Xenopus tropicalis: one gene and its partner. The protein of the gene in region 1 interacts with the protein of each later gene in a pairwise test. Links are inferred from orthologs where the notes say so. Each region holds a gene or a part of one and is shown on either strand. Other genes may lie near its edges. The genes, in order: apip and pdzd4.

What was found.
Region 2: the proteins of apip (region 1) and pdzd4 interact in a two-hybrid assay, tested with the Homo sapiens proteins (2 studies listed by BioGRID and IntAct). The two-hybrid records come from large-scale screens. The link is inferred for Xenopus tropicalis from reciprocal best matches to the Homo sapiens genes APIP and PDZD4.

The regions. Positions count from the first base shown.
Region 1 is NC_030680.2:11,176,947-11,192,945, forward strand, and holds the start of apip (methylthioribulose-1-phosphate dehydratase), read left to right. Parts: upstream 1-8,148; 5' UTR 8,149-8,216; coding exon 8,217-8,264; intron 8,265-11,789; coding exon 11,790-11,890; intron 11,891-15,477; coding exon 15,478-15,526; intron 15,527-15,999. Other genes in the region: pdhx (pyruvate dehydrogenase protein X component, mitochondrial), read right to left, coding at 1,080-1,163, 7,587-7,704. UniProt on the Homo sapiens protein: Catalyzes the dehydration of methylthioribulose-1-phosphate (MTRu-1-P) into 2,3-diketo-5-methylthiopentyl-1-phosphate (DK-MTP-1-P).
Region 2 is NC_030684.2:26,599,278-26,615,322, forward strand, and holds the start of pdzd4 (PDZ domain-containing protein 4), read left to right. Parts: upstream 1-7,486; 5' UTR 7,487-7,964; coding exon 7,965-8,024; intron 8,025-16,045.

The DNA of each region.
Region 1 (15,999 bases):
AATAGGACATCAGTTTGCATTACCCATAGATAAACAGTAAACACTGCAAGCCCCACCCACTTCATAACCATGGGGAGGAGAGCAGCCAGGAGAGTAACATAAAGGGTAATAACAGACTCAAGAGGATAAATACAAATGTTTCATTTAATAGGTTTTACCATTTATGGAATTTGGTTTTTACTGGGAATGCTAAATGTATTGGAGTGTACCAAGCAAAATGCCTTCTGATGTTTTGCTTCCCCTTTAACCAAGGAAGGTTATTTCTCTTGCAAAAACAGGGTTTATAGCGTGTGTGTCCTTCGCAAGACCCTCTAAACGAGTATACACACATTGGGTGCCACCGGGGAATACATCCTATCAAGCACTTCACACCTCCAGCATCACTTCTTATTGGTGTGTAATGGGCTTTTTATACACTTAAAGGGCCAGTCACGCCATAAAAGTCAAAGGATATTTACAGTACCATGTTACATCGGTTTGTCAGCTGCAGATACATTATTTACTGACCACCAACGGCGATCTTTTGTGAGAGAATTGCACTTTTAATGCTAGATGTCTAGAGAGAGTCGTAAAGGGCATCTGACCTCTCACTAAAATCAATGTATTGTAACAGCGTCAGCAAATGTGGGTCCCACAGCCCAACTGTCCCTTGCCCCTTGGCTATTATTATTATTATCTGAAGACAACGCTCTTCAAAAGTGTTGATATTTAACCGAATATGGCACCCCCGTCTTCTTGTTGGTGTTACTGGCCCTTTTACATGGAAATCACGAGCAGTACTGGCATGGCTGGTTAGGCTAGCTGCAGTTTATGCTGTGCAACAGTGCCCTCTGCTGGCTATGCAGAAGATCTACAAGTGTTGGGTAAAAATGAATGTATTTATACCATTAAATGTTTCCCTACAAGGGTACAGTGTACACAGAACTTTCTTTCATTGCGTATGGGTTGGAGCTGCCATGCTCCCCTTAGGCTGCACAGTATGAGAGCACAGTGGGTGTTGGTGCTCAGCACTGCTTTATGTGGCACTGAGCACCAACACCCCAGTGAAATGAATGTTTTGATTAGGTAACTAAACTCACCTTCTTTTTTCATCCACTTAACGATGTTTCCCTCCTCCATGGTGGGGGATAGGGCAGGCATGAAGACCTGGACGCCGGGCACCCCTAAGGGGGGGGGAGAGAGAATTTGGTCAGTTCAGCACATTCAGGCCTATATATAGGTTCTTACACCTGACAGCAGAGCAAGGCACTGACAGGCTGAATAAACATGAGCATCCCTGTGTAATAATCACATCACCGTGCCTCCGGGCACCTTCACGGCCTACAGTAAGTGGCGCCGCCACTCGCTTCATGTAAATGCCAACTGGGTGACAAACATGGATTTTTTGCTAACTCTATAAACAGACTCTGCCCCCCCAGCACCTCCATTTACCACTGGGATTAACTGAGATAAGAGTGAGGTTTGAGCTTTGCCAACGCTCCCTAGCAGTGGCATTAAGAAGCGAAAGGGGCCGAGGCCCTGGGACCAGCGTGCCAAGTGTTACACCTGCTCAGGAGAAACCGTGTAATGGGATTAGCAGGATTACATGGGGACCTGATTTAGGAGGTCAGAAGCAGAAGATCTCCTAAGCACGGCACACGTTACACACACATGCAGCCGGCCGTGCCCCCCTCCCCGTGTCCGTGCACCCCATGTGCCGTAGCCAAACATCACACGGATTTGCCCCAGTTCTTCCTGTCCTGTAGGAAGAAGCCCTGATGTTGGCTAAGCACACTGCATACACAGACATTTTTGTCTGATGTGGTTTATTTCCCCTTTAATGCTTCCCAAGTCCAGCATAGGAATCTTCCCGTTGCTGTAATCGGGTTATGGCTGAATGACTCCTGCCTCCTGCCACCTGCCTGCGGGCCTGGGGGGGGGGGCCTGTTGTTGGATCGGGTTGAATGATTGGCCGTGACAGCAACGAGACATTTCCTGGAAGGAACACACACTTGTCACCTTGGTACGAATGCACCCATCTCTGCCTGTGTGGGTGCCAACGCTGGGCAACAGAGTGGGCACATAGACACCCAACCAAGTGGCCAAGCTGCACCCATGCATTGTGCACTAACCACTTTACCTTATGCATCTACAGTATTGTGTGTTTGTCTATGGGAACGTGCATGGATTTTATATCTATCTGTATATATGTGTGTGCATTTATAAAAGAACGGGGGAGCAGAAGAGAGGCCGGAGGATGTAAACAGATGAAGAGTCGGCAGATAATCTGTTATCTCCTCACCATTTTACCATGACACTATTCCTGGCCCCCTCTTGAGGGCTGACCTCATTTTATCGGCTTCCCTGCAGGCAGGGGGTAAAGCAGCCACAAGGTTGTAAATCCCGGTCAGCTACTGCCACCTACTGCACATAATGCGCATAGCAGCCAAAAATAAGATGGAACCCCCCTGTGTGCCAGTCTGCAGTCTTACTGGCCTCGGGGTTGGGCACCAAGTCCAATTAGGGCTTGTGGCTCATTAATTAATCTAATCACAATTCTGCAGTTCTGAATCATCAGCTGCTTCCTACATCAAAATAACACCCCCCCCCCAGGCCAGACTACAACCAGAGAGAGCATCAACTAAATAGCATAGATCTGCCTTCTGATTTATATGTCATTTACAAACCAGGGACAATAGCAGGGTGACTGTTACCCCAATGTTTCTATATATCTGTAACCTTGTTATGGGCTAAGGGGGCCCAGCCTGAAGGCCAGTTAGGGGGGGATTTGGTGTGAGTGCTTATTTGTGCCCTGGGTACCCCTGGAACTATAGCGGGGTGACTGTTAGCCCATAACAAGGTTACAGATATATAGAAACATTGGGGTAACAGTCACCCTGCTATAGTTCCTGGGGTACCCAGGGCACAAATAAGCACTCACCCCAAATCCCCCCCTAACTGGCCTTCAGGCTGGGCCCCCTTAGCCCATAACAAGGTTACAGATATATAGAAACATTGGGGTAACAGTCACCCTGCTATAGTTCCAGGGGTACCCAGGGCACAAATAAGCACTCACCCCAAATCCCCCCCTAACTGGCCTTCAGGCTGGGCCCCCTTAGCCCATAACAAGGTTACAGATATATAGAAACATTGGGGTAACAGTCTACCTGCTATAGTTCCAGGGGTACCCAGGGCACAAATAAGCACTCACCCCAAATCCCCCCCTAACTGGCCTTCAGGCTGGGCCCCCTTAGCCCATAACAAGATTACAGATATATAGAAACATTGGGGTAAGGGGGCCCAGCCTGAAGGCCAGTTAGGGGGAGATTTGGGGTGAGTGCTTATTTGTGCCCTGGGTACCCCTGGAACTATAGAGGGGTGACTGTTACCCCAATGTTTCTATATATCTGTAACCTTGTTATGGGCTAAGGGGGCCCAGCCTGAAGGCCAGTTAGGGGGGGATTTGGGGTGAGTGCTTATTAAAAGCCATTAATATCACTTGAACAGACCGACTTTTATGACCATAAAGGGAAGACTAATGATCTCTTTGGCCCATGGTTGCATGCCGCATCTGCCCCTAACCCACCCTGTTTCCCCAGCGGTGGGACACCTTGAAATGAGTGGCCCTAAGTAAATCCACCACTGATGATGATGCTTTTTTATATATATGTATATCAATGGTGTGTAGGCGCCATCTCAGTGCATTGTGCCTGAGTCTGAGCTTTCAGCCAGCGCTACACATTAGAACTGCTTTCAGCTAACCTATTGTTTCTCCTACTCCCATGTAACTGGAGGAGTCCCAAGCCGGACTTGGATTTCTTAGTATTGAGTGCTATTCTGATACCTACTGGGAGCTGCTATCTTGCTCCCTTCCCATTGTTCTGCTGATCGGATGCTGCGGGGGGGGGGGGGGATATCACTCCAACTTGCAGCACAGCAGTAAAGTGTGACTGAAGTTTATCAGAGCACAGGGCACAGTTCACATGGCTGTGGCACCCTGGGAAATAAAGAATATGGCTAGCCCCATGGGAAAAACAGTTTACAATGCAGGATTCTGCTGGAGAAGCTCTATTAACTGATGGGTTTTGAAAAAAACATGGTTTCCCATGACAGTATTCCTTTAATCAGAGTAAATGAGCTCTGTATAAACAACACCCTCCTCTTTTCTTTTACTGATGCTGCTTTCTACTGACTGATAAGGACAAATTCATTATTTAAGTCAAACACTTCTGCTTGTTTAGTAAGGTCATTTTCAGCCTGATTTGGCCACCCACATGCTAGATTAAAACTGGTCCTATAGGTGAGATTGTCACCATTTTCTTTGGAAAAAAAATACTGCCCTTCCTATATGTTTAATCTGTCTTCCCTATTACAGGTATGGGACCTGTTATCCAGAAACCAGTTATCCAGAAAGTTCTGTATTATGGGAAGACCATCTCCCATAGTCTCCATTTTAATCAAATAATTCACTTTTTTTCTTTTTTTAAATAACTTGCTTTTTCTCTGTAATAATAAAACAGTACTTGTACTTGATCCCAACTAAGATATAATTACCCCTTATTGGGGCAGAACAGTCCTATTGGGTTTATTTAATGGTTAAATGATTCCCTTTTCTCTGTAATAATAAAACAGTACCTTGTACTTGATCCCAACTAAGATATAATTACCCCTTATTGGGGCAGAACAGCCCTATTGGGTTTATTTAATGGTTAAATGATTCCCTTTTCTCTGTAATAATAAAACAGTACCTGTACTTGATCCCAACTAAGATATAATTACCCCTTATTGGGGGCAGAACAGCCCTATTGGGTTTATTTAATGGTTAAATGATTCCTTTTTCTCTGTAATAATAAAACAGTACCTGTACTTGATCCCAACTAAGATATAATTACCCCTTATTGGGGGCTGAACAGCCCTATTGGGTTTATTTAATGGTTAAATGATTCCCTTTTCTCTGTAATAATAAAACAGTACCTGTACTTGATCCCAACTAAGATATAATTACCCCTTATTGGGGGCAGAACAGTCCTATTGGGTTTATTTAATGGTTAAATGATTCCCTTTTCTCTGTAATAATAAAACAGTACCTGTACTTGATCCCAACTAAGATATAATTACCCCTTATTGGGGGTAGAACAATCCTAATTGGTGTAACACTTCATTGGCCACAGTTGTTGCCCCACCTGCTTGCACTCTATTACTGCCCTGGTGGTGGTAACTGGTACAAAGCCGACTGCATTGTATTACTGGCCCAAAGCTCATGTTATGGTGTCTCTCACCCTTATGGGGGTATTGTGCATATAGTTTGGTACATTCTCCTGTCCCAGACTCCTCTCTCTCTCTTACAGCTGGGCCAGTGTATAATGTAATGTGTTATCCAGAATGCTCGGGACATGGGGTTTTTCTAGATAAGGGGTCTTTCTGTAATTTTGATCTCCATACCTTAAGTCTACTAAAATATCATTTAAGCATGAAATAAACCCAATAGAATCCCGCACAGAATCAATTTTCAGACCGGGCCCACATTTTTACTTGCTTTGACCCGCAACTGCCTAATCACCACCTGATCTGCTGACCACCATTAAAAAGGAAGTGCGGTTGCTGCAAAGTGGAAGTGACATCATCAGAAGGGGGCGGGGTAGAAAAATGTTTAAAAAAAAAAATGTAATATAAGACAAGAAATATGGAGAAGACCTGCAACCGGAAATCTTACCGGCAGGGTTGTTTAAGTGAAGTTGAACTTTCCCTTTCAGCCCATCAGTTTACCATTAAAGGGGAACTCCGGCTTCCGAACCAGAAGTTGTGAAAGAGCCCCACACGCGCACAGAAACCCCTAATATCCCTATCCCTGTAATCTGTTCCTTCAAGAAGTATAAATAAATACTATTTTATATGCTGAAATCCAGCTGCAAAACAGCTCTTCTCTTTCTGCATCATCTGAAATCCTGGCAGGGGAGGAGGGACTAAAACATTGATGTTACAAATGGTAACAACTTCTCCCCAGCTTACAGGCAGCATGCAGGAACTACATAACCCACAATGCATTGCACTGGGATGTTCCTTTGCTTATTGACATCACGTGTGCAGCAGGGAATTGTGGGATTGGGAGGAGGCAGGCTGAGGACAGGCGACTACGGTTACATTTTATTTGAGTCTCAAAGCAGTCAGCCAATCAGCAAGGGAACAGGGGGCGGGGCTTAGGGGACTGTTCCAAACCAGATTGTTGCATTAAATAGCATGGAAAGGCTGTATGATTTTCAAATTGATTCAAGTTGCTTGAAATGATGTTTATTTGTCAAAAAGCTTGAGTTGTGTTTGGGTGCGGTTCCCCTTTAATAAGTAGTGTTTATAAAACAAGACTGCACATTGAGGCACCCACAGCATTTCCTTGTTAAAGGCATTTGTTGATAATGTTCAGCCCATCCCACCTGTGACCACGGAGCCTTGGGGTTCAAACCCCACCAGAATCACTTTAAAGGGGACCTGTCATCCACACATAAAAAGCTGTATAATAAAAGTCCTTTATGGACCCCAAAATTATTTTTTTAATTAAACCAAACCAAATCTTTTATTAATTAAATCACCCATACCTGTTATAAATGTATTTAAAAATCTGAGCTGTCAATCATACATTGCCTGCCCCGCAGGCAATATATGACCGACAGCTCAGATTTTTAATTACAATTACTTTAACTTTCCATTCAGCACTTCCTAGATATTTTGGGGGGATACAAAGCTTTGCCTTAATAACAGTGATTACAAAATGGCGCCGACCTGCTGGCTGTGACTGTAAACTCCAAGAGCGAAGGGGAAAAAAAAAACCAAATAATTTATACAATAATAATAATAATAATATAATACAGTGTAAGTAAAGTTTATTTTGCTCAACTAACGTGATAGAAAAGGATTTGGAATTATTTCTTAGGGTGACAGGTCCCCTTTACCTCAGGGGCAACTGGGGAACCCCCATGGGGCAACCTCAGGGGCAACCTCACTGGCAACCGGGGAACCCCCATGGGGCAACCTCACTGGCAACCGGGGAACCCCCATGGGGCAACCTCACTGGCAACCGGGGAACCCCCATGGGGCAACCTCACTGGCAACCGGGGAACCCCCATGGGGCAACCTCACTGGCAACCGGGAACCCCATGGGGCAACCTCACTGGCAACTGGGGAACCCCATGGGGCAACCTCACTGGCAACCGGGGAACCCCATGGGGCAACCTCACTGGCAACCGGGGAACCCCCATGGGGCAACCTCACTGGCAACCGGGAACCCCATGGGGCAACCTCACTGGCAACTGGGGAACCCCCATGGGGCAACCTCACTGGCAACTGGGGAACCCCCATGGGGCAACCTCACTGGCAACTGGGGAACCCCCATGGGGCAACCTCACTGGCAACTGGGGAACCCCCATGGGGCAACCTCACTGGCAACTGGGGAACCCCCATGGGGCAACCTCACTGGCAACTGGGGAACCCCCATGGGGCAACCTCACTGGCAACTGGGGAACCCCCATGGGTGAGTGTTTGGGGCAATGGCAGCTACAATAAGCAGCTAGAGATACAAAGGAGCAAGCAAAGCCCCCCCCCCCGGCCCTACTTACCCCTGAGGATCCCGGCTGTGTGTAGGGCCCTCACTCTGCATTCTCCGTTACGACTCCGGAGCCCCCCGACAAATGACCTAATAAACCCCTGACAGCCAAGTCTCAAGGAGGCGGCCATATTGCGGCACCTCCTGGAACCAAGGACCCCCCCGACCTGGGCTGCCTTGTAACCCGCCTGATACAAATAATAAAAAAAAAGCTGCCAGAAATCCTATCGACCAACCCCACAAGCAGCGTTACAAAAGCACCGTTTCCGCTCTGTGAATAGAAATGTCACAGCGCTGCGCTGGGGTCCTAGGGAAACCGGCTGCCCGGTCACCGCCTTATTTAGGATCAGGACCCTGGGATAGCCGTCCATCATACTGCCTGACAGAAAATCACGAATAATATCCTCGGCGGTGCCGCGTAACACTACTGTAACTTTGTGGGAGTAACGCGACGTTATTAGCGTAAAAATTGCGCGTTCGAAAAAAGAACGGAGCTCTATATCTAGCGGAACGGTGAGGACCCCGGTAGGGCTGCCCGTAATTGTGCCTGTCTGATTGCTCTATAGGCAGTGTATGCATTGCACAGTAACACCCCCAGCCCTACACACTGAAGCACATCCCGGGGCTGCCCTGCCTGACAGACATGTATTACTGCAATAGAGACAACTGCAATCAAACAGACAATGCCAAGGTAATGCATGGGCTAATGGCAGGGAGAGGGGCAGCACACAGGGGCAGGTAGGAGTAGTAATACTGAATGCTGCTCCATAAAAGACAATGTAATTCTAAGCAACTTTCCTATAAACATATTTATTGCCCATTTTCACTGGTTTTAAAGTTATTTCTCTACGTAATTGCTACTAAAGGCAGCCTCTGTCTGTTTTATCTTTCCTGCACTGCTGGTTCTGACTGCTGAAACACCTTCGCAGAAACCAGCTAAATAACTGTGGTGCTACATTGTCAGAACCAGAGAACAGAAAGGGGACAAATACTGCTTTCAATAGCAAGTACATTTACACATTTAAAAAAAAATTGACATTTTTAATTACTTCAAATGCAGAAAATTAATTTGGCAGTGATTAATAGAGGAGTTTCTATAAGCAGACAGCGACTAACCCTACATACCAGCTATAGACATTTGCACCAGTTCCACTGATCCATAGGAGTCAGTAGGGTGCACTTGGGTGGCCTTTAGGTTAAAGGGGATATAAACCCTGCTGCACTTCTCAACCAAACTTTATTCAGTTGTTGCTGGACTACAAATCCCAGAATAATGTAACATATAATAAAGGTAGAGGCATGCTGGGAGCTGTAGTCCAGCAACATCAGGGGTTGTATTCTTAAAGGAGACATATCCTATAAAAATTATGAATGTACCAGTGTATTATACTCCTCTAGATATAGAAGGATTGTGCTTAAAAAAGTTGTGACTGATTTATTGAGAAATTCCACAAAAACCCCACTAGTCCCGGCCATCTGTTCCACTTCCTGCTGGCTGAATTTTCTGGATGAGCTGGGGAGCCGGCGGCCCTCCATACACTGCACTGTAGGATAGGAACCAATCAGCAGCTAGGCTAACCTGATAGGGAACTGAAGCCTGTCTGTGCTTGTGTGAGTGCAGGGCTGTGATTGGCTCTCCCCCTCCTACTGTACTTCTGGCAGGGACCGTTAGGACACACCCACCCCTCATTTCACACTGGACGGAGAAGTGATAGGATCTATAGGGAGCTCCAATAAAGGGGCCATTTTTACAGATGGGATTCATTTTTAGCCCAAAGTGAAACCAGCACCGTATATTATTAATAATTGCCTACAAAATAAGCATTTTTCCCAATTATGCAATATGTCTCCTTTAAAGCAATATTGCACAATAAAACATTTCCTAAACTTTCCCCTATATCTTCACCTGCCCCTAACCCGCCCCTTCTCCACCCGTACCCAACCCGGCCTACAGTTTTGCATCTATTTATAGACCCGAGCCTGCCCCACCTGTGACATCACTGAGGGGGGCAGACACGTGCCTATAAAGAGACGCAGCCAGACCCAGAAGTAGGGCTCAGTTAGGATGCGGGTGGGGAGGGAAGAAGAAGAAAGACTGGACCCGCAACCTTTATTTTGATGTTGCGTTGTCACTACTTCAAAGCAAGCGTCTTCTTTAAAATGCAAAAAAATCTCCCAATGAGAATCCCAGCTGATCTGTATAAATCCGGCTCCATGTTCTCTGTTCCTGCAATTGGAGTTGGGAGCATTAAACCCAGTTTCCCAGCACTGAACAAGTCTGCCCTTATCCCCATGTCTGATTCCTGTGCCATATAATGAGGGGAAAATGCCATCATTATCTCTATATATATTTATATTTTTCACATTTTAAAGCAGTCGCTGGCTGCGAAGATTTGGGAAAAAGTTTAGGAAAAATATTATTGTGCAATATTGCTTTAAAGGAAAACTATACCACCAAACAATATAGGTCTCTATAAAATATATTGCATAAATAGCTCATATGTAAAACCCTGCTTCATCTGAAATAAACCATTTTCATTAAAAATATACTAATTTAGTAGTATGTGCCATTGGGTAATCCTAAATAGGAAACTGCCATTTTAAGTACTAAGGGCCGCCCCTGGGATCACAGGAGTCACAGTGCATACAAACAAGCCAAGGCACACATACATGCTAGGTCTCATCAGCCAATGAATGGGCAGAGTTCTGCCTGCTTTGATTTGTAGTCCAGCAACACCTGAGTAAAGTTTGGTTGAGCAGCGCTGTGCAACAGGGTTTACATCCCCTTTAATGTCTGTTGGAACAGGGGCTATAGGTTACAGTGCAGTGAGGGGGCTACAAGGTTACAAAGTGAAAGGATGTGGTGAGAACATACCAAATGGGTCTTGGGTGTTGGGAGAGGCAAGAGCTACATGGAGGGGCCATAGAAATCAGAATTTAAGCTTTAGATGTATTTTTGGGGGGGAAGATAAACCAATACCTAACAATAAAGTACCCTTTATGGCTAGCACTGGCACAGGGTATTATGCAGAAGCTATATTTATATACAGGTATGGGACCTGTTATCCAGAATGCTCGGGACATGAGCTTTTCTGGATAAGCGATCTTTCTGTAATTTGGATCTCTATAACTTAAGTCTGTCAAAAAACATTTAAATATTGAATAAAACCAATAGGATTGTTTTGCCTCCAATCAAGATTAATTATATCTTAGTTGGGACCAAGTACAGGTACTGTTTTATTATTACAGAGAAAAGGGAATCATTTAACCATTAAATAAACCCAATAGGGCTGTTCTGCCCCAATAAGGGGTAATTATATCTTAGTTGGGATCAAGTACAGGTACTGTTTTATTATTACAGAGAAAAGGGAATCATTTAACCATTAAATAAACCCAATAGGGCAGTTCTGCCCCCAATAAGGGGTAATTAGATCTTAGTTGGGATCAAGTACAGGTACTGTTTTATTATTACAGAGAAAAGGGAATCATTTAACCATTAAATAAACCCAATAGGGCTGTTCTGCCCCAATAAGGGGTAATTATATCTTAGTTGGGATCAAGTACAGGTACTGTTTTATTATTACAGAGAAAAGGGAATCATTTAACCATTAAATAAACCCAATAGGGCTGTTCTGCCCCCAATAAGGGGTAATTATATCTTAGTTGGGATCAAGTACAGGTACTGTTTTATTATTACAGAGAAAAGGGAATCATTTAACCATGAGATAAACCCAATAGGGCTGTTCTGCCCCCAATAAGGGGTAATTATATCTTAGTTGGGATCAAGTACAGGTACTGTTTTATTATTACAGAGAAAAGGGAATCATTTAACCATTAAATAAACCCAATAGGGCTGTTCTGCCCCAATAAGGGTTAATTATATCTTAGTTGGGATCAAGTACAGGTACTGTTTTATTATTACAGAGAAAAGTGAATCATTTAACCATGAAATAAACCCAATAGGGCTGTTCTGCCCCCAATAAGGGGTAATTATATCTTAGTTGGGATCAAGTACAGGTACTGTTTTATTATTACAGAGAAAAAAGAAATTATTTTTAAAAGTTATAATTATTTGCTTATAATGGAGTCTATGGGAGATGGCCTTTCCGTAATTCGGAATTTTCTGGATAATGGGTTTCCGGATAAGGGATCCCATATCTGTATTATAAAATATAAATCACTGGCAGTGTCCTCTCTGTCCTTTTCTGTGTGTTAGGATAAAGCACATCCAAGGAATCTGATCCCGGAACTTTGCCGACAGTTCTATAACTTGGGTTGGGTCACAGGAACCGGAGGAGGAATCAGCCTTAAGTACGGGTGAGTTATCATTCCTTGCTGCTTATGGGCAAGTAAAACAAGCACATCATAACATAGCGTGGGCTAGTAACCTATAGCAACCAATCAGGTTTATCACCTAAAGGAGAAGGAAAGGTAAAAATCACTGGGGGTGCCAAATGTTAGGTACCCTCAATGATTGTAATCGCTTTACCTTTACATTCCTTCTCCTTTAAAAACGTGACCTGATTGGTTGCTGTGCGTTAAAGCAATACTGGTTTTACAAAACCCATCAGTTAATAGAGCTTATCCAGCAGAATCCTGCATTGTAATCTGTTTTTCCAACGGGGCTAGCAATATTCTTCATTTCCCAGGGTGCCACAGCCATATGACCTGTGCTCTGATAAACTTCAGTCACACTTTACTGCTGTGCTGCAAGTTGGAGTGATATCCCCCCCCCCTCACCCCCAGCAGCCGATCAGCAGAACAATGGGAAGGGAGCAAGATAGCAGCTCCCAGTAGGTATCAGAATAGCACTCAATAGTAAGAAATCCAAGTCCGGCTTGGGACTCCTCCAGTTACATGGGAGTAGGAGAAACAATAGGTTAGCTGAAAGCAGTTCTAATGTGTAGCGCTGGCTGAAAGCTCAGACTCAGGCACAAGGCACTGAGATGGCGCCTACACACCAATATTACAGCTACAAATACATTTGTTGGTTCAAGAATAAAAGTTTAAATGGCAGAGGGAATTATTTGCTGTGTAACAGTGTCATTTAGAAATAAATAGTACCCCATAAAAATCATGACGGTATCCCTCTAAGAAACATCGTGATTTTTGTTACAGTACCTAAAACAGCAGCTGTCCTATTTTACTTTATGGCTGGGATCCTGGATAAACGAAGGATCACAGCCAGTATCCAAAACGTCAAAGCAGGGTCAACTTATCCTTTATCTGAGAGGCTTATTGTGATTTGCCATACTGCAGCCTGTGGCTAATATAGAAAGCTTAGCTACGGCAGGGACAGCTTTGTGCCTTATGTTACACTCAAATTTCACGCCAATATGGCGGTGAAGTGAAGGGTAAGTTAAATTACAATCTTTTTCAAATTCTGAATCATTACAAACAGAATTCAAGAACGAGCTCTCCTTGCAGTCATATAACAGTTCTACCAGGTTTCACCAGGGGGCGCCATACCAGTATAAATCTGCCTGTGTCTCAAACTGGAAGATCAGCATTGTAACTGGTTCTGAAAGGTGCAAATTCCTGGCGCAGCAATGCGGTCCCCCCTTAGGCTTCTCTTGTTTTGCTATTTGCATTAACAAACCTCCAGGAGATTAATCTGCTACTAGCACACAAAGCGGCCATTAGTTTCCATGAAATCAGTTTACAAAATCTATAGATCAGTAACTGACTCTAAGGGCATGTCCTCATTAGAGCTTTTAAGCACTTTAAAGGGCATCTCAACCCCCAACACAGTAAATGGCACTTTTGTGTTTTTACTGATTTTAGACACATTCATTAGATCTTTTCAACACTTTAAAAAGGGGGCAGGGTGTGAGAAAGTAGCAGGTTTGGACTGGTAATACCAGGTCTTTGGCTTAATAGCTCTTTCTGAAAGTCCCAGAATCAGCAAACTGAGGGTTAACTGACCCTACAGGAAGTGCATAGACAGGGTCACTGATGCTTTCCCCTTTAAAGTGCTTAAAAGCCCTAATGAATATATACCATTAGAGTCAATTAGCAGACATTTTCTTTTTATCCAGACTGGATTCAATGCCCTTTACCTGCTGTATGTTCACACAAACCTTGTGCACCCAGGAGTCACTTAGCTGCTGTAGAATCATTGGTTATGGCAATTAGGATATGTGACACTGTCACAGGCTTATCTGATTCCCATTGTAAGCAGCAGTCCTGCCCTGCTTTATGGCTGAGATTCTAGCTATCTGTATAACAGAGCATTCTGTCACAGTGGCACAGATCCTATCTGATCCCCCCATTGTAAGCAGCAGTCCTGCCCTGCTTTATGGCTGAGATTCTAGCTATCTGTATAACAGAGCATTCTGTCACAGTGGCACAGATCCTATCTGATCCTCCCATTGTAAGCAGCAGTCCTGCCCTGCTTTATGGCTGAGATTCTAGCTATCTGTATAACAGAGCATTCTGTCACAGTGGCACAGATCCTATCTGATCCCCCCCATTGTAAGCAACAGTCCTGCCCTGCTTTATGGCTGAGATTCTAGCTATCTGTATAACAGAAAGTTTTATTCTCTGCCGGTTTCTGGCTGGAGATGACTATTTAACAGAAATGCAAAGAATCCTTTAAATGTCAGCTGACAGTTACAAATGACACGTGCCAGTCTTTTCGTGACCCGCCGTTCCATTTCAGTGCCTGCTGCTGGCTGTAACATTTGCCTGACATTGGATAAGCAGCGCTGCGTGAGTTACTTCCCTCTCGGCCATAGAAAGCTGCCAATAACTTCCTATCTCCAATCAGATGTGTCAGGACGCTGAGGCCCGAAGGGGCGCACAGAGACATTTACAGACATGCCTGTTTAAATGTTACGCTGATATAACCTGTAATATATGATTGTTATTCCACTGGCCGGGGGGAGCCGAGCTCCTCTACCCTCCTCTTTATTTCCTTGTTTTGAGTCAGACATAGAAACATGCAGGAAGTGTTAATGCAACCCTGTCATTGCCTAATGGCCACGTGCCTTGTATGTATGTTTCTCGGATCCCTAATGCATGTCTGGAATCCCAGCCGTAAAGCAAAACACACCTGCTGCATGGATCTTTGCACTATTGTCAGGTGACTGTTGTGACCCGATGCCTTATTACATGTATATTTGAATGAATGAACAGAATTAGTCTCTTTTATTTTGACTTCCTGGTTGCTAGAGTAAAGCTGGCCATACACTTGTAGATTGTAAGCTCTTTTGGGCAGGGCTCTCTTCATCTCTTGTATCGGTTATTGATTGCTTTATATGTTACTCTGTATGTCCAATGTATGAAACCCACTTATTGTACAGCGCTGCGGGATATGTTGGCGCTTTATAAAAAAATGTTAATAATAATAATACACAGCCCCCTATAAGCTTCTGTTCCTGCCCTGCTTGACCAAACGTTACTCAGTTGTTGCTGGACTACAAATCCCAGAATAATGTAACATATAATGAAGGGTGAGGCATGCTGGGAGCTGTAGTCCAGCAACATCAGGGCTGTATTCTTAAAGCAATATTGCACAATAAAACTTTCCCCCAAATCCCCACAGCCAGCGACTGCTTTAAAGTGCAAAAAATCCCTCCAATGAGAATCCCAGCTGATCTGTATAAATCCGGCTCCATGTTCTCTGTTCCTGCAATTGGAGTTGGGAGCATTAGCTGGGAATCAGCATTCTCATTGGTCACTTCTTCTGCATTTATAATGAAGTTTTTTATCAGTAGAATTCTCATTGGTGAATTTTCTTGCATCTATAATTATGTTTTTTGGCAGCTTCTATAGCAAAACTAGGGGGCGCAGTGGGAGAGCATCATGGCTGGGTTTATATCCCCTTTAAAGCTCTAATCGTGGTCCGTTCCTGATCCTGACAAACTTGTTATGACTTTAAATCCCTCTTTGTTTCCCCTTAGGGATGAAATCTACATTGCACCTTCAGGGGTCCAGAAGGAAAGAATTCAGGTAAGGGAACGCCACTGCTGAGACTCGCTTACTATCAGGTGTTGACCGAGGCACAAAAGCCGGCTGGATCGGATTTGCCACAATGCACAAACTGCCAGCCCGGGCCTGCTCACTACCCTTCCGATTGCACCCCACTCATTGTACTGAGGCAGTGTGCCTCTTCTCCCTGCCCCTAGTTCCGGCGCTGGCCCTATGTACGTGCCCCCTGATTTTCTGTCCTGGCAGCAAAAGCTCATTTAGAAGCCTCTGGAGCCGTTGCTGTTCTGTCTGCCCTCTGGCGGGGCAATTAAGGGAACCTGTATCTTCACTGTCACTTCTTTGTTGGCCTCTGCACATTCCTATAAACGCCGTCACTGTCTCTTGTGTCACCTAGAAAACAAAACCGTATCTGTCTCTCCCGTTTGAAGAGCGCCAGCATAAATATGACTTTAATCCTCCTCGCCTCCCTCTTTCCTGTTAATTGCTGCCTTCCA
Region 2 (16,045 bases), on another chromosome or scaffold:
TGCCTTCCTATAGATTTATACGCTTTATAGTGTTACATGCTCCATTAGACATACATAAAGGGAAACAAAATATGGGAGTAAAAATAGTCTATAGCTGGATATTTATTTGTCTATTTATATTTTCTAATGAATGGGAGCTGCCATATTACTTTTATCTCCTAAGAAAAGCCATTTATTTTGATCAGTAGATGGTGATATTCTATTGTTTGCCGCGAAAAAAGCAGAGAAAACACAATATGGCAGTTACGGCTCGTTTATGATTGCAAATCTGTAGGCATGGATTGTGCTGTGAATATAAAGAGCAATAATCCCATTATTAACCATCTGTTAAAAGTAAAATAAATTGCAAGTAATCTCAAATTATAGGCTATAAAATAATCCAGAGTCTCTGCTTGATCCGCTTTGAGGTTTATGAAGTTGCAGCACAATCCGAGTGGGAAAACACAAAAAGGCTGATACCTCAAATGGATAAATAAATCCCACACTGGGGGGATCCGTGCAAATGATAAAATAGGCACCAATTAAACGAAGCTTTTTGAATGGAGTGCCAGCGTGCTATTCATTTGTATATTGAGCTGCTGGCACGGCTCTTATAATCAGGCATATACCTCACATTACATCATTTATATTTATTCACAGAAGCCAGTGCAAATGTGCCTCTAGTGCAAATGTGCTTAGTACAGGGGTTATGGCCTTCCCCCGGCATATGGTGCCTCTATGTACAAGCTAGAAGAAAAATGAAGGTCTTGCTACAATTCCAGTTGCGCATTACTATGCCCCCCCCCCCCCATGGTAGCTAAGCCAATTGACCACTTCTGGTTGGGGCAATATAACATAATAGGAGGACTATGGAAGACGATAGGGCTGTCATCTGAAATCATGGGGACCCATTATATTTTCCTCCCCCCCCCACTGGGCCAAGAATGGGGAAACAAAAATAAGACACTTTGGGGCCGATTCACTAAAGTCCGAAATAAGGAGTGCTATTTATAGCATGCGTTAAAAATCTTATCACTTCTTATTTTTCGCTCGATTCACTAAAAGGACACTTGTCATAATTAAGAAGCGATGTTCTTGGCGTTATTTATCGTACAATGTCATATTTTAATGAAAAAAACTATGCGATAAGCGTTATAGGGGCCCATTCACTAAAGGTCAATAACGCTTATCGCATAGTTTTTTTCATTAAAAAGCATGCGATAATTAAGTACCGATTCATCAAAGTCATTTCGCATGTGTTAATCCGCATATCGCATGCACAAAAAAAACGCATTGCGTTAATTAGCGAATAGAAATAGTACTAACGCATGATTCACAAACACATATGAAGCGTTAAACATGCAAAATATCGTGTTAATCTGTGTGAATATTAACCCTACTTGGGGCAGGCGGTACTTAAAGAAAATTGCGGTTCGTGAGCTATTGGCAACACAACATGGAGTTTGCAGTCGTATTTTTTCAAGTATATGTTGGCCCTAGAGTGATGCATCCTCCGGTTTTCAGGGAAATGGTGGTTTTCAGAAAGTAATGGTTACGTGCGTAATATATTGCGCTCTGCATAAAATATCGCGCGCTGCGTAATATCTTGTGCGCTGCGTAATATATTGCTTGAAAATATGTCATCGTAAGATAAATAACGCCAAGAACATCGCTTCTTAATTATGACAAGTGTCCTTTTAGTGAATTGAGTGAAAAATAATAGGTGATAAGATTTTTAACGCATGCTATAAATAGCACTCCTTGGGCCTGATTCACTAAAGGGCGATAAAACGTGCGCTATTTTTATTGTGCGCTAAAATTTTTACCGCGGCTTAATTTTTGCGATTTTTTGCACGATTCACTATAAGCATACTCGCGCTTTTTTACGCGCGATATTGCATGCGTTATTTAACTCGCGAAAGGCTATTTCAATGCGGTATTTGCCGGTACATGCGCTAAATACGCGAATAATCGCCGCATATGGGGCCTGATTCACTAAAGGGCGATAAAACGTGCGCTATTTTTATTGTGCGCTAAAATTTTTACCGCGGCTTAATTTTTGCGATTTTTCGCACGATTCACTATAAGCATACTCGTGCTTTTTTACGCGCGATATTGTATGTGTTATTTAACTCGCGAAAGGCTATTTCAATGCGGTATTTGCCAGTACATGTGCTAAATACGCGAATAGTCGCCGCATTTGAATGGTAGCATAGAAATAGTGTATAAAAATTGTTGCCGCATATAAATGGTGTATATAAATATTAGCCACATATAAATGGTAGCATATAAATAGTAGATGCTTATAAATAGTAGCCACTAGTGATGAGCAAATGTGTTCTGGTTATCTTTAGTGAAAAATTAGCAAATCTTTCAAAAGATCCACGAAACGGCAAAAATGTTGTGCGGGCAAAAAAATTGTTGCCCGTGACTATTATTTTTTGGCACTATCAATTTTTGGATGTGCGGTGAATTTTTGCGTGGCAAATTTTTTCATGCGTTTTGCCATTGGCGGATTGTTTTGAGAAACGCATGAAAAAATCCGCCGCGAAAAAAATTCACCGCATGTCCAAAAATTCGCTGCGAATCCATGCCTGGCGAAACATTTCATCACTTGTAGCCAAATATAAATAGTCGCGCAAATGAATGCACGCCATGTTAGCCATACACGCCAATACTTGCAGAAAATTACTGTATTAAAAATGAACATTTCGCTGCAAACTGGCGGCTGCGTCACTCTGGGGGAAACACAGACTTGAATAAATAACACTGTAAGTCCATATTTTATTGCAAAAAATCATTTACTGTACTTTTGTATAATTTTTCGCCTGCCTGTAGTAGGTGTTAATTTTCACATAGCCGAATGCGATATTTAGCGCGCAAAAGTTATAGTGAATCATGCAATCATATTCTTTTCAGCGCAGAAATTAACGCAAAACGGTAAAACTAGTGTGAGAAATACCGCATGCGAAAATGGCGATTTTTCGCACGCGATAATACTATGGTGATTATTTTGCGTTTTTTGCGTTTTTTAACGCGAAAAAGCGTGCGATCATTTTTATCGCCCTTTAGTGAATCAGGCCCATTATATCCAAGACACCAACAATCCGCCAATATCCCACCCACTGTCCATGCACCCGACCCCTTTGCGACCCACAGAATAGAACTTAGCATCTGCAATAGGGCCCTCTGCCTGGACTCTGCTGAGAGGCAATAGCAGCCTAGGCAAGCCTACAATATCCAAATAAGCCAATAACATCCTTACTGAATGTGCTCTTATTGTTATAGACAAACCCAACTGTGGAATAAAAAGAATGTAGGTTTAATGGCGTTTTAATTAATCCAGCAAGGGGAGGCATTGCCAGTAAGAGGCCTTTTTATGATAAAGCAGCTTTTCATTGGCTTACTTGGTCACCGGGGGTCTTATATGTCTTGCCAAGTGGATATCTGATGGAGGTTTTCTCCCAAGGGTGCCTCACATATACCTGATTGAGTGCAATGTGCCCTCACCCATATTTGCCTCATTTCCATCAAGCTAGATGTTACTGATAAGATAATAGAGGGGGTTCCTTAGCAAGGGACCTATGGGATAAACAATATATTCTTTGTGGTTTTGATATAATCAATCTCCCTATCCCTGGGTTGTTGCTGGACATAGCTCTCACCCCCCTTAAATACACAGTATTCCCTCTCCATCCATGCAATATATCTTACCCCTCCCACTCAATTTTCCATCTCCCCCTCCACACATTTATAGGGTCATTTTTCACTAATGGTGGGGGCAGTATTTATTCTAGATAGAAGTGCCTAACTAGTGGAGATCCAGCTGTTGAACTATGACTCTCAGTGTCCCCTGACAGATATTACCTGTCATTGTTTATTTCTCTTCATTCTGTCCCAGTAACAATCACCCCTAGCTGCTGCCTGCTCAGTCAAGAGGCATATTTGAACTTCTCTCCCCCAATACAATAGCTGTGTCTTCTTGGTTACTTATGGTAGATCCCAGTGTCCTGTTAAGAACATAGATGTCCCTTCCCAGTATACTCCAAATGACCATATCTGCTTATCTGTGCTGGATATAAATATGACCCATCATTCCCTGCCCTGCCTCAGTTTCTCCCTCCCTAGCCAACGGAAGGCTCACAATTGTTAATAATAAAGAACAATATGCTTTTAGATCTGTGTCCCTTCAAAAGAATTAGAAGTGAGTTGTCTCGTTGTCTCACACCTCATTAGACTGTCACAATAAAGACCTCTTACACAGCACATTACCCAAACATCACAGCACAGCCCCCACAAGGCAGACCCAATCAGCCTGAGCCAGAGAGAGGAACCGCAAGACATGACATAACTTGGAGCCTCCTGCTGAGCTCTTCTAAATAATGCAATAGGAATCTATAGGGAGAGAGGTTTAACACTTCTCTTTTATACATGCAAACAAGATGTACTTTGTCATTGGCTTCTTACAGGGGAACATCTCCCCATACCCTACCAGGTCATCTGGTTTTTGATTATTTCCTACAGAGCAATTAGCGTGACCCCATTATATTCTGCCCTACTGGCGTGCTGCTGTTATATTTTTATAATCATGGAAAACCTCTGCAGATAATGGGAAGGTACATCCCTTGATTGTTTTCACTTTTGTTGTCTTCTCCTGCCCCTCAGGGAGTGTGCCGTGCAAAATAAAAGTGCACTGGAGTCTGCCTAAAGGCTTCATACACAATAATACAGATATTAGGTTGTGTTTATGTTGGGAGAAATGTTGCACACAAAAAATGCAGATATTGTATAGCTGTTGAATGCAAGTACTGGATGTTTAGAAGACTAACATTTTATTCCTAATTCAGTGGCTCTCAGTGGGCCACTGAAATGATTGGGCTCCAATGTACCAGCACCTGTTTTCCCATTGATAGTTCTGAAGGAAGTTGAGTTTCCCACCATTCTGGACATCAAGGAGGTGAAGTAGTGCTGGAAATCAGATTCTCCCAGAGTCACCCAGACTAAGCCAGGGGTCCCACCCTTGTAGAAGGTTGCTATGGGGATCCAGACCAAAGTTACAGGAGGCTGTGGTTATCTCCAACAAAACAAATATATGGCATAGCTAGAATCGGATGACCAGACTGGTATGACTATGACTGAATCACATCTTGTGCCTATAGAGGTCACCATAGCTTAACCCCGACCAGGCTTCCTTTGTGGCACAGAATTTTAATTGGGCAGCCTCCATAGAAGTTAAGCCCCAGAATTGAAAAAATGCTGCACCATGCATTGTGCCAACACTCCTGAAGTGGCAGTCATTTCTCTGCAGCAGTTGCACGTTATATGCTGGCCAGGGGGGCAAATAAGGTAAAAGGTGCCCCCCTACAGCTGCAAGGAAAAAATGTACATGCCGTCCCCATTTATCTGCATATTTGTATTTATTCATATGACTTGAGCTCCTCAGATACCCCTGTACCCCCAGGTAATTACTCTTGTTCATTAGACTATAAGATGCATTCAGTTGCCAAGCAAAGTACAACTCTGAGTGCAATTGTTGTTTTACCCACAATTCTGCCATCATTGCAGATGCAAACGGCAATTCTTTTGGCACAACCACGTGTGTTTGTCATTGTAAATCAGGCACAATCCCACTAAATATTTTCCAAGTTTGCCTGGCGTCATTTCTGATAAGCACCGCGTGAGTGAAGTGTATGCCATATTATTTTGGTGCAAGTGTGCTGTGTCTTTTAACACAGGGTGCTAAGGGAACCATGAAGCTATCATCTTCATCACTGGAAGTGGCGGTGCAGCAGTGCCTGTTTGAAATGAAAGTCAGGAAGAAGTGAGCAGCGATGAGTGTAACTATACAGTAAGGAGTGCATTTTCTTTAAAGTGCAGTTCCTTTATAGAAAAACTGCCAGAAAAAGTGCAAGTTACCCGCTGCACTTGTAGATGTAAATACGATAATGCTAGTGTCGCTTTAACTTTAGGTTCCACCAGGGTCGGATTTGATTACATGGCACCCCAGGGTCACCCCATTTGTGCGCCCAACCCACCCCCCCACACATGCGCACCCCTTTAACTCATTTAGCAGTGGGGAAAGGACGCGCTGAAGTTTCTGTGTATCAGATCCCCATTGCCACATATTTGAGCAAATTTCATTGTGGCTTGGGCGGAATGTCGCCCCTAAATATGTGGCGCCCTAGGCCCAGGCCTTTGCCTCACCACAAATCCGGGCCTGGGTCCCTCGCAGTTTGTGGACTGCAAGTCTCAGCATATATCAATATAAGGGATGCACCGAATCCAGGATTCAGTTCAACAATTCCTGGCCATTTAGGGTTTTTCTTCTCCAGAAGAAACACAGGGCAGTGTGCAAACTTGAGACACAAATTAGCATGTTTTTTACCCATAATGCAATGCCCCCCCTACAAATTCCAGCATCATTATAGCTGTACTGACTTGCATCTGCCACAACTGTGCCCGATGAATATAGGAAGAATAAAATGCTTGCTTTGAAATTACTCTGCTCATTGGTTGCTAGGGAGTTTTACCACAATTATTAGTCAAACATTCCAGCTGACAGTTTCTGCTCATCCCTTAAGCTGACGGCCATGGCTAACTGGCGTTACACATTAAGGTGTCAGGTTGTCTAGGACTTCATATATAATGAGATTGTTTATTCCCCTTAAATAAAGAGGCCACTCATAAAGGTAACAACAGAGTATGTCATATCAGACTTACTTGCTTGGCTAACTGCCTGTAGATACCAGCCACAAACTGGCCAATACTTTCTGCGTAGCCATGCAGAATGCACGCAAATGAATGACTCGTTAGCCATAAAGCACATAGATATGGTGCTCCTCTGCTCGAGGTGGCCTCTCCAATAAAGTAACTGCTTCAGTGGTAAAGCGATTAACTATAATTAAAAATGGCAGAATGGTGTGAAGAACTGAATTCTCTGCAATAAAATCAACAGACCGTTGCATAGGGACAGAATCCAATGGAACCCAAGGGCAGTTTACAGCTGAATGATGTGCAGACTCGGAGGTTTATCTGTCATGTAAAGGGTTAAATTGACTGATGAGTCAAGGAACGCTAGTCTCATTGCATATATTTCTCACCTGTCCATTCTGATTCTTTCCAGTCACCCAGATGACTTTAACCCAATATGAACCAGTGCTGTGTAATAGCCTCCATGTCCCCCTATTGCATTCCTGTACCCTGTAGCTCCTGTTGTGCTTCCTGCCACCCCTCCCTCCATGTCTTACATGGCCAAAGCTCAGGGCTGCTGATAAAATTCTCTCAGCAGTTTTGTGCCTGTCTAACAGATTGGCTGTGAGTGTTACACCAAAGACCATCCATATTTATTAGCTACCTTTCCCTCTCTCTCTCCCTCCCTCCCTTCCTCCTTCTCTCACTCACTGCACCTCCCTTCCTCCCTCCCTCCATCCTAGCAGTGCTGAGGCTCGGCTGGAGCCAGCGAGGAGGAGAAGGCATGCGTGTGGGTTCTGCGGCAGGCAGAGAATTGGGCACAGGTGCCTTCACAGCTATCTGCATGCAGGGGGAACATGGAGACAAATTCTTGCTGAAGACCAGCAGCCTAATATTTTAAGAAACATATTTGAAGGAAACCAGTGTAGATGCCTTGCTGGTACCCCATTATTTGGGCAAGAGAAAAAGGCAGCCTGGAGAAAAGACTTCTTTATAGTGGGAGCAGGAAGAGACGTGGCACCCCATTTTTGCAAGATGTGGGGGACAGCTGCATGTCTCTTCCATACCAAACCAAGGCTTCCCCCCCACCTTTATTCACTCCCTCCCATGGATTAACTGCCTTCACTGGATGGATAATCAAGGGGCTTACGACTTCTGATCTAGGGCTCCTTTCCTTCTGTAAACACCTTTTGGATGCTACAGAAGAGGCACTGAGTGCACATTTCTGAGAATCCAGGCAAAACTGGGGGTGACCAGCCCCCTCCCTCGTAGACCTGCACCCCCTTGAAGCTAACATGGGATGTAACATGTGTGTGGTTCGCAAACCAGAGGAGCATTACAAAGTGATGCTGCAGGTATGAAAGGGAAAAACAGGAATGGAGTGGGTGGCAGGTAAAAAGAGGGGTGTATGTTAACTATCTGGGGGTGGCACAAGATAATGTACAGTAACGTGGGCTCAAAGGTCGATGTAGGAGAGGGTATAAGAAGGTAGAAATAAAGAACAAGGAAGGATTGGGAATGTATAGAGATTTGCTCAGGATGGAGGAATGGGGAATTAAGCAGAGAAGAGGGTAAATCTGGGAAGGGGTAGAAGACATGGTCTGATGGTGGCAAAAGCATGGAGAAGAAAAGAGGCAAGGAAATAAAAGAGATAGTTTTGGGGAAAGATGGAGGCTGAGGTTGGCTAAGGGCGAAAATGGGTCTCAAACTTATAACAGGGATGGTGTAGAAGATAAAGTGGCTTCAGTGGGAAAAATATGAAGTTGAAATAAATAATATGTATGTGTTTGCTCTTTGAAAGAAATGTGAAAATGTATGGGGTTGAGGAGTTTACATAATTGAATAGATAATGGCTACATGTAGAAATGGGAATCAAATGAGCACAGAGTATGAAATGTGGATGATGATGTTGAGAATTTGGCATTGAGAAGGTTATGGATATGAGAGGTTGTCAAGGATGTAAGTTCAGTCTGACAGAGAAATGGCAACTACAAGTAGGTAGAATGTGGAGTTTGGATGGAGCCCTGACAGGGGGCTGTGTGGGACCCTTGGCACATAACATAGTCGCAAATATAAGGAAACAAGAGAGAGATAGTCATTCCGCTGAAGTTCCAGGAGTGCCCAAACAGCAATTCCGAAGATACCTCACCCCCTTATCCCATACTCCCCTGGGTGTGTTCATCCCTATAGTTTGGGAACCTCTCCACTGGAGTTTGGGAGTTTAGGGTGGCAAAAGCATTCAGAACAGTGAGAGCCAATAAGAAATAAAATGACAAGGAAACACTGGCAGGAAAATCAGAGAAAAGGATGATGGCGGCAATGATTACGGAAAAAAATAGGAAAAAAGTGGGCAAGGTGAGAGTTAAATAGTGGGAGGACAGACTGGTGGTTGAAGCAATCAGAAAATAGGTACTGGAGATGCACCAACCATTTATGGCACTATCCTGGTCCACAATGCCAAGCACGTGTACACTCGCAAAAACGCACGTGCCCTATGTAGAGCCCATATGGCAACTTTAATACGAAAAACCAATGGCAAAATTATTGCCAAGAGTATGATACAGGTTCTGTATTATTAATGAGGATGAGACATGGCTAAAGTCAATGGGATATGCCAAACAGAAGCACAAACACATACAGACACATACACTTAAGCACATTCATGTTCATGTATTGCTGTTACCATACATATATTTAGTCTTCTACCAGACCTGTACAACATAGTGTATCATACTTACAGCACACACAGACAGGAGTGTAAGCTCCAGCCCATAGTACATCTCTTATAGACGGTGCAGGAGGCAGTAACGCTGCCCCAATGCAAGAGCTCTAACACATATCCCAGACATTTTCTGCTTAGAGCAAACTCCCTCCATTTTCTGCCACCTTTCTCGAGTGCATCAGATTGGTATTTGGGGTAGAAATTAGGTATTGTGGCTGCTTTATTGAGATACAGCTTCAGCTAGCCTGCTAGGCATGTGTACTTTGTGTCTATATGAGGTATACGTGTCTGTGTTGTGTAAAGCATAACTGCATATACAGTATAATGCACATGTGCATACATGGCAGAGCTGTGCATTTGTGTATGAAATCTCTGTATGAATATACATCTGTTTATTTCTGTGTCACACCATTCACATCTCTATGTGAATATTATGCTTCCCAATGTGTGTGTGTAATGCAAATATGTGTGTTAGGACATTCTCATCTATATGTGTCTAGTTGTATACCCTGTCTTTGTGTACACAATGCACATCTGTACCCCCATGAATAAGATTCACATCTGTGGTTCCCAGCAGGAGTTGTATTTGTGTATATAAGAGGCAATGATTGTTGAGTGGCCATTATTGTTTTGTGTGTGTATAGGGTGAAAGATTAGATGCAAGAGTTGTGTGCGTTGGGGTGAAATGGTTGGGTGTGTGGTGCTGAAATGTGTGTTGTGGGGCAGTGTTTGCAAGTAAATGAATGGAGTGTTTAGGCGTATGAGTCCAGGACCTGTGTGCGTCATTACATTTTTGTATCATAAATGTGTGTTTAGAGGGAAATATTTGGGTTTCGGGTTAGTTTGGGGAGGGGTTATTGTGTGTATGTGTAGGGGGGATGCTGGACTGTGGGGGTTATTGTGTGTATGTGTAGGGGGGGATGCTGGAGTGTGGGGGTTAGTGTATGCATGTCTAGGGGGGGATGCTGGAGTGTGGGGGTTAGTGTGTGTATGTGTAGGGGGGATGCTGGAGTTGGGGGGGTTAGTTTGTGTATGTGTAGGGGGGGATGCTGGAGTGTGGGGGTTATTGTGTGTATGTTTAGGGGGGATGCTGGAGTGTGGGGGTTATTATGTATATGTTTAGGGAGGATGCTGGAGTGTGGGGGTTATTGTGTGTATGTGTAGGGGGGGTGCTGGAGTGTGGGGGTTAGTGTGTGTATGTGTAGGGGGGATGCTGGAGTGTGGGAGTTAGTGTGTGTATGTGTAGGGGGGATGCTGGAGTTGGGGGGGTTAGTGTATGCATGTCTAGGGGGGATTCTGGAGTGTGGGGGTTATTGTGTGTATGTGTAGGGGGGATCCTGGAGTGTGGGGGTTAGTGTGTGTATGTGTAGGGGGGATTCTGAAGTGTGGGGGTTAGTGTGTGTATGTGTAGGGGGGATTCTGAAGTGTGGGGGTTAGTGTGTGTATGTGTAGGGGGGATGCTGTAGTTGGGGGGGTTAGTTTGTGTATGTGTAGGGGGGATGCTGGAGTGTGGGGGTTAGTGTGTGTATGTGTAGGGGGGATGCTGTAGTTGGGGGGGTTAGTTTGTGTATGTGTAGGGGGGATGCTGGAGTGTGGGGGTTAGTGTGTGTATGTGTAGGGGGGATGCTGTAGTTGGGGGGGTTAGTTTGTGTATGTGTAGGGGGGATGCTGGAGTGTGGGGGTTAGTATGTGTATGTGTAGGGGGGATGCTGGAGTGTGGGGGTTATTGTGTATACAGTATGTTTAGGGAGGATGCTGGAGTGTGGGGGTTATTGTGTGTATGTGTAGGGGGGATGTTGGAGTTGGGGGGGGTAATTGTGTGTATATGTAGGGGGGAGGCTGGAGTGTGGGGGTTAGTGTGTGTAAGTGTAGGGGGGATGCTGGAGTTGGGGGGTTTATTGTGTGTCTATGTAGGGGGGAGGCTGGAGTGTGGGGGTTAGTCTGTGTGTATGCTGGAGTGTGTTCACTGTCGAGAATGGTCATTATGGCTGTGGGTGGCAGCAATGTTTGTGTAAGGGTGAGTGGGGGGCAGTGTTTGCTGCTATGGGGGGTTTTGAGTATTGGTGCCAGTTTGTTTAGATGTGGGTAGCAATGTTTGTTTTGCATTTGTTTACCTGCCATGTGTGCTGGGCACAGGGTAGGGAGTTCAGTTACCGGAGGCGGGGGGTGCATATGTTGGGGACATATATGAACAAGTGCTGCCAGCAGGACACTATCTGCATGTTGCTCTGCATGTTTATACATCACCACTGGCATTCCTAGCCCCCCACTCTAGAACAGGGGAGGGAGCAAAGGAATCTTTGACCAAGTGCTCGGCCGCTGGAGTAGATTCCTAATTATGTTCTGATTTGCTTTGATAGCTCAGTGACAACCTGGGGTCTATTTACAGTTTGCAGACAAAGAAGGGGAGGCAGTTTGGGGCTGTTTCCAGCCGGAGAGCGGCAGCCCTACCAGTACTCACCCCTCTAGTTGTGTATTCTATGTACGCAACAGCCCGACAAGGGACTTTCCTTGGCCAAAAAGGACTCTCCCTTGGGAATGTAATGCCTCCTGTTTGCACAAGGCTACACAGCTATTCCTCAACCCTTTAAATACTGAATTCTTGTGTCCTTCAAAACTAATGGCCTCCCACGTCCCCTACCTCACCCCCTTCAAAACCAAATACTTATAAATCCCATGTCCTGTAAATGTAATTAGCTGGTGTTTTAGCCTGTATCTGCTTTTATATGGTCATGGAACTCATTGGTGACATGTAATATCCTTATATTTTGCAACAGGGGGTTATGTATAGATTGTTTGCTAAGTAACCATAACATTCAAGGCTGTATTATGTGCTAGTTTTTAAATGAAAGAGGTGGCAAACCTATGTTTCTCTAATTACATTACTGACCCCTTATTAAATCAGAGGTGTAACTTTATTTTCATGGGCTCCTCACAAAAATATGATTTTAGAGCCCCCCATCCACATCACATAGCTGCACACTCACCATTTTCCTCCATACCTGCATTGGTCAGATGGTGTGGGTGCAGACAGGGGGGAGGTTGTGACTGGAATACAGACTCTTACCAGGCCCCCTCTCCCCTGCCCCACAGTTATGGGGCCTGATTAAACCCAACCATCTGCAGTGGTGCTGTGACACTACAGCTCCCACCATGGTGGTTTAATGTGTTGTTTTCTCTCTGCCATCCTTCAGTGGAACTAGAACCTAGGTAGGAGGTTTTTGTGTCCTTTTTTACCCTCAGCTGCTGGCAGGTTATTCTGAATGGTCCCTCTGTATCCAGAGAGCTTTCATGATTTAAGCTCTTATATCAGTACATCTCTAGGTACCAGGCATGTCTTTATAATATGGCTTAATATTACCCTTTCTAGTGTAGGTTTGGGCCAGTAAGGCTTCCTTCTCATTATAGCAGTCTGTTCCCCTGCATATACTTCTTCCCCTTCTACCCCTTCATAGAATCAATTTTTCCAGCCTTTTCTTCATCAAATGCCCTTTCCCTCCCCCCACATCCCTTTTTATGACAATGATACCCCCCATCTCTCTCTCACTGCACCTTTTCCCATCTCATCTCTCCTTTGATCCATCTGGGAAGGTTTTTCCGCCGGCAGGATGGAGAGGGTTTAATTATCCAGATAAAGCCACCTTAAATCTTCTGTGCGGCTCCACTGGCAGCAGCAGCCGGTAATGATGAATCTTGTGATTTCTGTACTGGAGCAGAGACTCCTGTGTGTGTGACTGGAATAGGGAGCCGGATCAATAGGAATGGGGGAAATTGAGATGAGAAGGGCAGGAGAAGTGAGGAGTGCTTGTGTGAAGTGTGACAGAAAGCAACTTATAGCAGCGGTGACCCCCCCTTTCTATTCATACATGTTACAGAGGGTTCCTAATACATAATAATAACTGCTGGATTATAGGCTGCCCTCGTTCCGCATACCAATAACAAACATCTGACACCTAATCCACAGGCTTGTGATGTCTCCCTACTGTACCCAGCTGGATACTTCTCTTATACAGACAAGATGTACTTACTATCATAATCACACACCCAGAGCTCTGGGAGCACCTATCCTTGGCCCATGGTAACTGCCAACCCATTCTAAAGGCCACCCGCCCCAATTCTAACCATTACAGTATATATAATATTTATATCATGGTCCGTGTGAGGGGGAGGGGGTTACGTAGTAACATGGGCATAGTTTGTCTCATTTTGGTAACCAACAGCAACCAGATGTTTCCTATAATTATTCCAAACTGCACTCAACCAAGCTATCTGCTGAATGGTTACTATGGGTTACAGGACTAGGAAAACCGCTTGCTGTTGATACTGTACAAACTGGATGGGTAGATAAGAATTAGTACCATGCCATAGATACTATTGCTCATAGCAAAAGCATTTCAGGGGTCCTGGCCTGTTTTGCAAGACATCCACTGGGCCCTATGTACCATAGGCCTGCTTTAGGATAGGCAAGAGCAAACCTGGAGTAATATGCGGTGGTCTTTTTTTTTTGTGTGCCCAGATGATGGCACTGCATCACCACCCATTATGCTTGTGCCCCATAAACCCAGAGTTACAGAAGCAGTGGCCCTTGCAATACGAGGACGGGGCTCCAGTGTCCAATATTTGTGAGTTGTATATTTTATCAGAGAAAGTTGTACAGCTGAGGGGCTATTCCTTGATCTATACATGCCTAAAATATTTCCTAACAATATAATATGATCTTTCATCTTTATGCCACTAAGAGAACTACTGATGCTGGGTAAGCGGCCCATCTGCTCATGGGCTGCCACTGCCAATATTTTATCCTTCCTTAATAAACCATCCCTGGTCTCCCTCTATAAATGTAAAGTAGATGTGCAGCTTGACTTGCAGGGCTTGTTCCTTGCTGCCCATACACAGTGGCCTCAACCGTGGCTTGCTGGGAAAATATAGAACTGTGGCTGTTGAACAATGCATTGCACTGCTGCTCATCTCGATAAATCATCCCATCCGACTTCTGTTAGATTTCCTCCCCTCATGGGGCGTCTGTCAAGATCAGCAGCAGAAGACACACACTGATATCTCCTATATACATGTATCTATCTGACTATATAGAGTTGTTCACCAATGCATGAAATGGCCTGTGATTAGTAATGCTGTCCGGCCAGCTTCAGGAGCACAGTTTGATAGAAGAAACACAGTCGAGTCAATTGCATTTTATCTCTGCACTTCAGAAAGGCACTTATTTGATTAAATATTTGTATATATATATATATATATATAAATATATACATATATATATATGTATATATGTATGTATATGTATATATGTACTGTATGCCCAGCCTGCAGTTATACACCTGTTGGTTAACAAATCTATCATCCTTCATTTTTGCCTTTAAAACAACCAGGCACCCATGCTGTATCTGTATTGTGCTATATTATGTATATAGAGTAATATTTGCAGCACATGCGGGGGGTTAATAGAACAATTATTGATTACAAACATCAGGCAGCTTTGAAGTCTCCTCTAATGCAGTTTATCCTAATTCCCATCTGTACAAAGGGCATTCCTGTATCCGTGTTGTATTACTACCAGCACTTTTCCATTTGTTTCCATTCAGCCATGGACAGCACGCCGGTACGGCAGTGAGCCTCTCTATAGCACAGTATATAGACTGCATATATATATATACACACACAAACACACACAGACACAGCAGGGCCAAGGTGCTGTCCATTGTGCTGAAATCTCAGGACTGGCGCTCTCCAGCAGATATCTGCTTTTGGCAGCCTTTGCTTAGCAACATCTCTCGAATCTCCAGCACTGAAGAGGTTACAGCTGCCAATGGCAGGGGATCCTGTTGTTATTTTTAGTGGCAAATAATAGCTTTATCGTTCAGTGAAAAGCAGGTGTATTCTCCACTACTAATTCAATTACCCCCCACATTTCTGCCATGCAACAGAAACAATACAGCACACTAAAAAGAGAGCAGTAAAATTGGCATTACAAGAGCACAAGCAAGATAGCTATTGTTTCCTATAGAATTGATGTAAGGTTCTATTTATTTATTTTAAATGCTACAAAAATATTTATTGTGCACATTCATGCATTTCCCAGCATGCCTTGCATTTTGCCACTGATTCTATGCCACTATTTGCAATGGGCATCCATAATATGATAGGGTTCATATAAGATAGCAAGTACAGTTGTGCAAATTTCCCCACAGTCAGTTGTGTATAAAACCCATGCAATAAAAGTACCTGCAAAAGAGTGGCCCTCGCACTTCCTTATAGTTGTGCTCAGACCCACTCAGCCCTTCCTGCCTCCCTCTCCAAACTGAGTGCAGCTGCACCTATTGATGAAGAGGAACAGAGCTGATAGCTCCAGAGTTCTCTTATTGCCCTGTGTCAATTGGTGTGGCAGCGCCAAACCTTGGAAATGTCGCCAATCAGATATGGGAAACTACAATTGCAGCCTATTTACAGCAGAGTGTGTCCTCGTTATTTATGATGCATCGGCATCAGGTGCAAGACCCACTGGTGACTTCAACAGGACTGGAATTCTGGGGAAAAATTCTGATTTATGGGAAATAAAACATGGCAATTCTGCACTGCACATGTTCTGGTAAATGCAGAACATAAATTAGGTAGGTGGCTTTGCCTAGGTGGATCACT